Caenorhabditis elegans: one gene and its partner. The protein of the gene in region 1 interacts with the protein of each later gene in a pairwise test. Each region holds a gene or a part of one and is shown in the gene's direction. Other genes may lie near its edges.

Region 1 (5,420 bases):
TGCAATCCCGAGAACACAACTTGGAATATGGACTCAAGATTTATGGGTGAAAAAGAGGTCATTCTAGCCAGCCTTCGTGCATTCGAACGAGATGTTGCTCGGGAACAAGTGAGATCTGGCTCTAGGATAGATATGCTAATTTCACAGCCCGATAAACCGAAAAGGGAATCTCCGAACACTAGGGATGCGGATGGACGGCTGAAGAAGTACTTTTTCTGGTAGAACTTTTGTTGTGTTTAATAAATTATTTGGTTTCTATTTTCCTAGATGCACTTTTTTAAGTTCCAGATCTAATTGAAAAAAGGCAGTTTCCCCTATATTTCGCTGACTATGAGTATGGCCTCGAGCTGGCAACTGAGTAGCGTACGTCAGGGGATCTCCTCAACCGTGGTTTTTGGCCTAACAGGTCTTAGGCCTAATACTTGTAATCGTCTATTTTGCAAGAACTCAGGATAGTTTGAAAGGCTATGGCCTATGCTCGGCCTTAGTTTCAATATCATAGTAAAAACACTTTGATAGTATTTTCAAATACCTTTATTGAGTCGTACTGAGCCGGACGACAAGAGTATTGCTTTCGTCCGGCCAGCAAGTCAGGTCTTTCTCGACTGAAGAATCTTCTACTCGTGAGGGTGTGCCGCCATATGCTCTCTTGCCTCGTGTCTCTCGTCGTCACGCGCCCATAGACGCGCGACGGCAAGACCACATGACACTAGAATGAGAAGAGATCAAGGACCACTTCCACAATAGTTTATAATAGAAAAAGATACAGATGTAACCAAGCATGAAGTTTTACGAGATTACATGGTAGTATAATTTTCTATGAAAAAGTACAGTAGTTCGGTTTATCAATTTTTTTTAGATTCATTCATTTTTAAAGATGGAGTACTAAAAAAACTACCGACTTTTGTAGTGAGATGTTCTGAAAATTTCGCAAAAAAAAAGTTAGGTTGGTTCAAAATTTTGGGAAAAAAAGTGTTTAAAAGATCCAAAATTTTGACCATCATAGCATTTTGGAAAGAAATTTTCAGAACGTCCCATTTTTGGTATTTTTTGGCCAATTTGGTATCTCCACCTTTGAAGCAGCAGCCGACATCTAACGGGTCCCTCATATTAAATTTAACAGTCTGAAAAATTCGACTAACAACTGAATATTATAGCTACAGTATCATATGGTCTACTGTAACCATTCGGTAGTAGTGTAGAGTTACTTGTAGTTTTGTGCCCAGTTGATAGCAATAAAAGTATCGAATGGGTCTCGCCACGCAGATAGCGAGTTGTTAGTAACTCAGGGTGGCGAGACCTAGATATGAAATTGTTAGATGTAAAGTTATATGATTTCTCAGTGATCACCGACTTTCCGATACATTCTTCACCTCTGGTGTGCTTCTGCAAAACTTGAAATAACATTTTATGAGCCCCCGAGAAAAAACTCACAACAACGTTGATAAAAACACGGTAAGGCTCAGGAATAATCCATAGGCTTTTCTCAAAGTTCAATAAACTCAATTCAGGAGAATCCAGATCCTTCTGTTTGAACGGATGGCTATCGGAGAGAGGGGAGAGTGTGGAAGCTTGATGTAGATAATCATCTGCAAAAAAAAAGGAAGCTTGGAGGTGTGAATCAAAGCTTGGCCAAAACGGGCCACAAATCAATTCGGACTGAAATACTTAATATTCACCAAGGGTAGTGTAGTTGGTGCTACGGATTTGCGATCTACCGGGGTCAATATAAAAAGCACTATAGCTTTGAAGAACCCTACTTGGTCATCCTTTAATTTTTGAGCCATCGATATGCTCTACAACGCGCATTAGCTCAGTAAATTCAGTAAGTCAGTAAAAAAATGAGAAATTGCCAGATCCTAGCAAAAACGCTGTTGAAAGAAGTATTGTCAGGTGTGAAACAGAAAAATGCATATGAGCACAGTCCTGGAATACTTCAGGTAACAACTTTCTAAGATTCGGGGAACACTTCTTACCTAGAATGGCATAATACGCAAGCTGAAGCTTGGAAGAAAGCCTTGTCGCAATAAGAAATATAAACGGAACAAGACAACAAAACTGAGCCTCCACGGACAACGACCAGGTATGAGTGAAAATGTCGATAGCTTTGGCTAGCTGAAGTACTTAATTTTATCAAAAATTTCTCAGATTCACCAAGGGTAGTGTAGTTGGTGCTACGGATTTGCGATCTACCGGGGTCAATATAAAAAGGACTATAGCTTTGAAGAATCCTACTTGGTCATCCTTTAATTTTTGAGCCATCGATATGCTCTACAACGCGCATTAGCTCAGTAAATTGCAATCTGTCAAAGCTTAAGTAAACTGTCCGAATTGATTTGTGGTCCGTTTTGACCAAACTCTGTACACCGCCAAGTTTCCATTTTGCAGATGATTATCTACATAAAGCTTCCACACTCTCCCCTCTCTCCGATAGCCATCCGTTCAAACCGAAGGATCTGGATTCTCCTGTATTGAGTTTCTTGAACTATGAGAAAGGCACGTCGATTATTCCTGAGCTTTGTCGTAATTTGGTCATTTTGCTACTTTTTTATCAATGTTCCAGCTGATGTGAGTTGATTTTCCAGAGGGCTGAGAAAATGTTATTTCAAGTTTTGCAGAAGCACCCCAAACAGGAAGTATGCGTCTGTAAATCGGCGATCACTGGAAAATCATATAACTTTTGCTATAGAGACCCACAGAATCTGAATTCGATCGGGAAAAAGTTCAATTGCAGTCTGCTGAGTACTCTGGAAGATCTTGGTGAGCATGGGGCCATTTATCATATTTTTTACCATAAACTTTTGGAAGCCTGAAAAAGCCTAAAAAGGCTTGAAATTTACTGAGCTAGACATGCAAATCCTGGTTGTTATATTCAAATTTCTAAGGAGCTCTATACCTACCTTTCTAGATTTTTCAGGCTTTTTTAGGCCCGTTCAGGCCGTTCTCAGGCTCATGCAGGCCTATAGGTTTGTGTGTACTTATTCAAAAGATCTGAACGCATGGATTTCAAATTTCAACACGAAATAAGGAGATAATCAAAATTGAAACAAAATTGGGAAGTAGCTTGTAAATCCCGCTGCATTAAGAGATCAAACAATACATAGAAAAAGTCTTCGTGAACTTCGATTGACGTCTCATTTTTAGCGGAGATGGTTATCGACTAGGTATAGTTCTTGGTATAAGACACCCTAAATTTGAAAAAAAAACTCACGGAAAACTAGTGATGATTTTGAAGACGGATTGTCCTTTAATCCCTCCAATCCAGTACTATTTTTCAGGTATCATCTCTGATCATTCTCGCCTATCAAATGTCACGGATGTCCTCCGAAATCAGAGTAACGTAGTCTTTGCATCCTCCACTTCCGATGATCACATGCACCTCAGCCTGAAATCTTACAAATCAGTTCGAAGATTCCATCCACGCCACAAATACATCCTCTATGGCCTAAACATGAGTGAAGCCTTCATCGAGAAACTTCCGCAAAGAGATAAACATTTCGAGTTCCGAGTCTTCAACACTTCTCAGTACCCGAGCTTTGTGAACAACTGGCTCACCTACAACTTCAAGCCACTGCTCATGGCGCAGATGCTCAAGGAGTACAAAGCCGTATGGTGGATCGATGCGCATATTGAATTACTTAAGTCGAATATTTCGAGGAATCTACAAAAGGAGATAATTCTCAAGAGAAATAGTTCTTACTTCGCCTCCGTCGTATCCTTATCTGATACTAGTCATAGCAATTTTGCAGTTCTAAATCCAGCAGTCCTTACCTACTTTCCAACAAGCTCCATGAGGCTTCTTCAGCGCCAGAGACATGTCGCCGCCGGATTGATCTTCCTCCCAAGGACCAGATATACCATGCAATTATTTAAATGGTGGATCCTGTGCGCTCTTACAGAGGAGTGCATGAACCCGCCAGGATCTCGGCTGCGGTGTGTGTTCCGGCGGGATCGGTACAAGCATCCGGGGCATTGCTTCAGGTAAAGAATTTAAACCATCTTCTCTTTCAACTTTCTAGTAGTTTCAGATTTGACCAATCTGTTCTGAACCTTCTTCTGCTCAACGATTTCCAAGACTACCGGAGGTACTACTCGAAAAAGTTATCGGAATCGTTTTTGAGAATGGTTGATTGATTGTTTTTGATAATAAAGTTGAAGTGTTTATTTTCAGTGTTATCATTGGTTCACGGAAAGTAAGAGAGAAACAATTAAATTGTGCAAAAAAGTCATGATAAAGGCGGGACCTATTATCGATTTTTCTTGTGATTAGGTTCAACTCAATGAAAAAGGGGTACTTCCTCACAGGATTTACATTTTTTCGTGCCGACGAGCAGGTACTCCGACTTGCGGAAAAAGTTGTGTCCTCGCTTTAAATGCGTATAATTCCTTGAGTGGCAGGCGCGGTTCCGGGGCCTGGAGCCTGCCTCAAGCTAGTCTACCTCTTCGCCTCACTTGTGCATTCAAGCGTGAAATGAAAGGTTCGGTGTTTACACAACATAATGAGGAAGATAGTTCTTTTGCAGCGACTGACACTTTCCGGGTTCAATGCCGCACTACACAGAAGGTACTGCTCGGGGCGCAAGGCAGGCGCGGCAGGCTTTTCGGCACCTACATGGAATCCCTACTTGGAATAGCTTGTACCTTCTACATCATACTACGCAAAAGACACGGCTCGTGGCGTGAGGCAGGTGGCGATCGCCGCAAGGCAGGACCGACAAAGCATAAAACTGAAACTCTCCCATGGATCCGAATCGTTTCGTTGCCTCGTAGCTGATTTATATCTACAGATTCTCCTATTTTATTCAGTTAGAAAAAAAACCGTTTAAGATAGAAACTCGGATTCCGGGCTTTATCCCGACTCCTCATCGCCACACCATTTGGTCTTTAGAGGCTTGCTATTCACCTAAGCTGTTCACGGCTATTCATGTCGGAAGCATCTAAACCAAAGCGATTGGATTTGCAAGGGCTCCGAGGTCTTGCCATCTTGGCAGTACTCGGTTTTCATTTCTATCCTGCACAGTTTCCCAATGGATATCTTGGAGTTGATCAGTATGTGCACTTTTCTTTTTTATTTTGTTTATTTCCACTTTGAAATTTTACAGATTCTTTGTCCTATCCGGCTTCCTTATGTGCATGCTACTGAAGCGAGCTGAAAGTGATTCAACTTGTACTCTAATCACCTTGTTCTACTCGAAAAGGTTCAAGAGAATCCTTCCGCTTTACCTACTCATCATCCTGCTCTCCATGATCTCCCTCTACACAATCTTCCCAGACACCTCTATAGAAACCAACCAAAAATCTGCCACCCGTGCGATGCTCTTTGTGTCAAATGCTCCAACTTCAGCGCAAGATAACTATTTTTCAATGGTAATTCATAGGTTCTAAGAAATTTTTGATAAAATTGAAAAACTTCAGCTAAC
Region 2 (5,260 bases), on another chromosome or scaffold:
TTCGCAATAGCACTATACTATTCGATGAAGCTCCATATTTGAAGATAGCATGAAATAGTGATTAAAAATTGTACTCACATACATAATTCAATTTCAAACTTAGTTTCTATCATTCAAGAAATCGTTTAAACGTTTTGAAATTTTCATTAAATTTATTTTTTTAAATAAATACTTTCAGAACCGCATTCAAACGCACGGCAGCAACTCGACGAAGTGTCCGTGGATCACTTAGAAGTGGTTACGCATTCTCTCATTCACAAGGATTCGGAGAACTCATTCTCAAAGGAAAATTGTTCAAAAATGTGGAAAATCTACGGGGAAAGAATAATTCGAATGCGAAAATTCACCCGACTTCTGATGACTTGCAGCCGATGCTTATTTCTAGTGTGCCTGATGTAAGTTCAATGTGAATTTAAAATTTTTTGGCATGAGAATCGGAAACCTAGATAATTTAAACCTAGACAGAAAATGAAATTACTACTCCCAGTGAATAAAAGATAATCAGCAATTTTTAAAAAATCTTTGAAACAATAATTTCGGAAAATTTCAAATAACTTTTTTTCAACTTTTTGCAACTTTGTGCAGTTACAGACAAATTTCCATTTAGAATTTAATTGTTTTCAAATGTTAGCATTATCCGAGACATTTTTCATGCTTTTAGCCATGAATAACCAAACTCAAAATAAGTTCACGTCCCACTACTAATTGTACAGTAATCATATTTATTAATTTATAATGTTGTTGAAACATTCCATTAAATTTTTCGAACAAAACTTTTTTTCACTTTGTTTGAAGGCAGTAAAACTTTGAAGCAGTAATTTTTAAAATCTCAAGGGTAACATACTTATGGGCTAACTTTTCAGTTTTGTTTTTACAAAAAATTATCCATTTGCCCTTCTAATATAATATATTTCAGGACAGCCAAGGAGCTTCAAGTATTAATGCAATGCACCTTCCAATGGGTACACGTCCACAGAATGTACCCCATACATTGAATGTAAATACTGATGACTGGTAAGTTTTCACATAAAATTTTACACACTTCTAAAGCACGTTGCTTCACTTCTGATATACTTACCGTACTTCTATTGTAACTCTATTGTGTGCCATTTATTCACAGGTCTCAATCATCGGATTTCCGTCCAGCCTATGCAAAGGAACCATCACCACTGCAGGGTACAGTAATCCGTGGCGATGGACGGAGCCATAGAAACCACGTGTATTCGCGGGAAACTCAGGTATAATTGTGCTCCATCCGGTTCTGCCGCTTTTTATCCAAATCTGGCGTTTGTAAATAATTTTCATAATGAATTCTTATTTGTTTCAATTTGCTCAAATTATCTAATTTTGTGTGTACTTGTGTTTGTGTGTTACTTATTTATTATAGTTAGAACTTAATTTTTTTCTTTTTAAATATTAATTTTTATGCATTTTGAGATTACAACTATTCAACATACAGTACTCCTATGGAATACTGTAATTTATTCACTTTTGACCTACTTTTTGATCTCGTGCAGTGCAGTGTGTGCTTTCATTTGAACCCTTTGTGCTTTGACCCTTTTTCTGTTAGTTTTCAACTTTAATTCATTTTTTTTGCAATAAATTTACTTTTGATACATTTTTTCTAAATATAATATTTTATTTTTCCAACAGGTCGAAGAACAACCAGACGTAATCACTCGCCTTTAAAATTCATTTTTTGCATTTATTTTCCGATTTTCTTTCAAACATTCTTCCCCGTCTTGTAGGCACCGGTTTTAGGCTCTCAATTGGGTTTTGTTTGCTCTTTTTCTTCAATTTGCTGTAATTATATAATTGGTGATCGCTGATAATGTGATTGATATCAAAATGGGTAATTTATGATGTATTCCAATCGTGTAATTTTTGAAATATTCAATAAATAATTGTTCATATTCTTGTTGTTGATTAATATATCAGTGTCTATAAAAATTTAATTAAACAAGCAGTGGCAGAAAAAAATTTCAAAAAAAAATGCAGTTTCAAGACATTATTATTACTTTTTTTTAACAAAGGTAACACAAAGTAACAGTTTTTAAAAAATTCTATAGTTTCTCGAAATTGGTGAAAAAGTTTGGATTTCACAATTTAATTTGCTTCGTTGGTAAGTAATTTTCAAACTCACACGTTTCAACGATTTATTTATTTATTTATTTTAATACGATTCCATACGAATCGTGTCCCAAGAAAAAACATAAAACATAAATGATTGATTTTGAATCACGCGATTTTGCAGTTTTATGCCGAAAACATTCTCAATAAGTTCAGTTCTAAAAAAAAGTTAGAAAATCACGTTGAAAAAGATTTAATAATTCTGACCTTTGATATTTTATCTTCACGTTCGATCAATTGCTCTAATTTTTTATTCCCTCCCCCCCACCCCCTCTTATCATTGTTCTTCTCGATTCTAATTTATTTCACAACAATCGATAATTCAAGTATCAAACAAATTCAATTCAAAGCATTTGATAGCTTGAAAAGATGCCACAAGAAATTCCACCTGCAGTCAAATATAAAATCTATCCGGAAGGTGCAGAGGGAATAGACACGGTTTGGGAGCGGCCCGGATTCAAGAAGGGAGAGGTGAGAGGGGTTTTTTGGAATTTGGAAGTTGGATTTGGAATCGAAACAGTGAGAAATTTGAATAATAATTTTTGAACTTTATTCAAGATTTTTTTAATAATTAATTTATTTTTCTTCATTGTGAACAATATTTCTTGAACTAAGTAATTGAGGCAGTCGGGGGTGTTCGAAAGAATATTTTATTATAGAATCAAACTTTCTTTTTTTTAATGGTTTAATGGTTTTTTTAATGGTACACTAGTAGTGAAACATAATTTTATTTTAAAAGTTATTTCTATTCTAGAAACACGTATTTCAGATAGAAGCTCGAGTCAAAGATGTGGTCATTCTGCGTGGAGAACCAGTTCCAAACAGCTACAAAATGCTTGTAGAGGCCACATTTGAGCTCCCAAAGAAGGATAAAATAACGGTAAGCGACATCATCAATGACTTTATGTAAAACGTTTTTGATTTCCAGCAACTCGGACTCGTCAATCGACATGGGTTGGTCACTCGTGTTCATTACGCGAGCCCATTCAAAGGAGCAATTCTACCGGGTGACATCATCTTGCAAGTGAACGGTACGACTGTCTCATTCGATGAGAAACAATTGACAGAGCATGTCGACGAGACCACCGGTGGAGCAAGTCTCCAGTCAAATGTGAAGACTGTTAAGAGGAAGCCAACGACTACACCGTAAGGACAAATGTTATGAAAACTTGAAAAATATTTACCTTATTAAGGAAAACTGAACCTGTGAGAGCACCACATTCACTTTATCCAGACTTCAAGGTTGTTGTCGGAAAGATTTTGAACTCAAAATCTGAGACAAAGATTACGGTTCTGGTCGCTAGATTGAAGAACAGAATGTCTACGTCTAAGATTCCAAATGGTAAGTTTGAATATTTGTTTCTTATTGTGAAACAGTAATTTTCATATAATTTCAGGTATCTTAGCCACACAGGATCACACCATCGATTTGGCCATTCTCTACCAATTCAAATACCTGCAGCTTGGTCTGAACGTGCAGCAGGTCGACAGAAAAGTGGTGGTCAACTACACTATTCCGGATTCAGTTTCACATTGTAGTTTGAATATTGGTGAAGCTATTATTGCTGTTGATGATAAACCAATCAACACTCTGGCAGATAATCGTCAACGATTTCGCGAAGGATTTGAGGCGAATGGATGGATTCGATTGTTGGTTGAGTATCCGAATACGGATCCAATCAAAAATATGGTTCGGGGACAGCTTGCAGTTGGTTATTTGCCTCACATTTTTTTTCTTCTATTTTAATTGCAGAATGTTATGAGAACTGCCGAACGACCGCAATACTTGCTTTGTGGAGATGTCCGTAAATACTTTGTAGAAGGAATTGAAGCTCTGAAAAATGGAAAAGCGTTGGCTCCCATTTTAAAAGAGGAAGAAGGGCCGGGAGAAGTTGGGAAGAAGAAGAGTGATGCGAAAGTTACCAAAAAGTATGTTTTTAAATAAATTAAGATAAAATCTTCAACTAATTCAGGGACCCGGCTGTTGGATTCAACAACACAACTGAAGAATTTTTTATTCCGGCGGAATGGAACTCGAAGCTTTTCGTTTGGCTCCCGCCGCTGAAGACCAAGGTGACCGAATCGGCATCTTCGAACATGCCGGTTAAAAAATGAACTTCATTCTTCTTTAATAAAACATTTGACTGATCTCGGGCGGGCTCGAACCACCGACCTTCTGTGTGTTAGACAGCACAGGTAAAGCGCTAAAAGCGAGACATTAACCAAATGTACGTGAAGGCCCGCTAAAAAGCCAATGATGGGTCGCACCTAAAAATTTTTTTTTTAATTATTGGAAAATCTAACATCGGTGATGGAACAATTTAACATTTTTTGGAAAATACTTTAGTTAAACATTAATTTCAGCTAGATTGTTTTATTCAATCATTTCAAATTTCCGAAAAATTTTTTTGAAAATCAGCTTTTATATATTTTTATCAATTAAAAAAAAACACCCGTACAAGCTATTATACTCTGTTCGGCATTTGCTGCTATTTTTGACTATGCTTAAGAGTTTTATGAAATAAAAAAGAATGACTCCATATGATTTTACAGGACTTTTGAATTTTTGAAAAAATCAGCTTTTATATATTTTTATCAATTTTTAAAAAAATACTTCCGTACAAGCTATTATACTTTGATTGACAGATTCTGGTGTTTTTGACTATGCTGAATAGTTTTATGAAATAAAAAAGAATGACTCCATATGATTTTACAGGACTTTTGAATTTTTGAAAAAATCAGCTTTTATATATTTTTATCAATTTTTAAAAAAATACTTCCGTACAAGCTATTATACTTTGATTGACAGATTCTGGTATTTTTGACTATGCTGAATAGTTTTATGAAATAAAAAAGAATGACTCCATATGATTTTACAGGACTTTTGAATTTTTGAAAAAATCAGCTTTTATATATTTTTATCAATTTTTAAAAAAATACTTCCGTACAAGCTATTATACTTTGATTGACAGATTCTGGTGTTTTTGACTATGCTGAGCAGTTTTATGTAATAAAAAAGAATGACTCCATATGATTTTCCCATACTTTTGAATTTTTGAAAAAATGAGCTTTTATATATTTTTATCAATTTTTAAAAAAATACTTCCGTACAAGCTATTATACTTTGATT

Evidence for each region.
Region 2: the proteins of F41D3.9 (region 1) and mpz-4 interact in a two-hybrid assay, tested with the Caenorhabditis elegans proteins (one large-scale study listed by BioGRID).

What each region holds. Positions count from the first base shown.
Region 1 is NC_003279.8:12,271,695-12,277,114, reverse strand, and holds F41D3.9 (DUF1647 domain-containing protein), read left to right. Parts: upstream 1-1,926; 5' UTR 1,927-1,976; coding exon of another isoform or gene 1,977-2,116; intron 2,117-2,148; 5' UTR 2,149-2,341; intron 2,342-2,388; 5' UTR 2,389-2,487; coding exon 2,488-2,568; intron 2,569-2,618; coding exon 2,619-2,760; intron 2,761-3,278; coding exon 3,279-3,981; intron 3,982-4,028; coding exon 4,029-4,134; 3' UTR 4,135-4,166; downstream 4,167-5,420. Other genes in the region: F41D3.11 (Nucleotide-diphospho-sugar transferase domain-containing protein), read left to right, coding at 1-222; oac-25 (Acyl_transf_3 domain-containing protein), read left to right, coding at 4,925-5,049, 5,103-5,367, 5,416-5,420.
Region 2 is NC_003282.8:4,824,505-4,829,764, reverse strand, and holds mpz-4 (PDZ domain-containing protein), read left to right. Parts: upstream 1-2,444; 5' UTR 2,445-2,499; coding exon 2,500-2,601; intron 2,602-2,899; coding exon 2,900-3,010; intron 3,011-3,058; coding exon 3,059-3,276; intron 3,277-3,323; coding exon 3,324-3,472; intron 3,473-3,527; coding exon 3,528-3,838; intron 3,839-3,883; coding exon 3,884-4,059; intron 4,060-4,103; coding exon 4,104-4,245; 3' UTR 4,246-4,277; downstream 4,278-5,260. Other genes in the region: tat-2 (Phospholipid-transporting ATPase), read left to right, coding at 179-395, 917-1,014, 1,121-1,238, 1,654-1,689.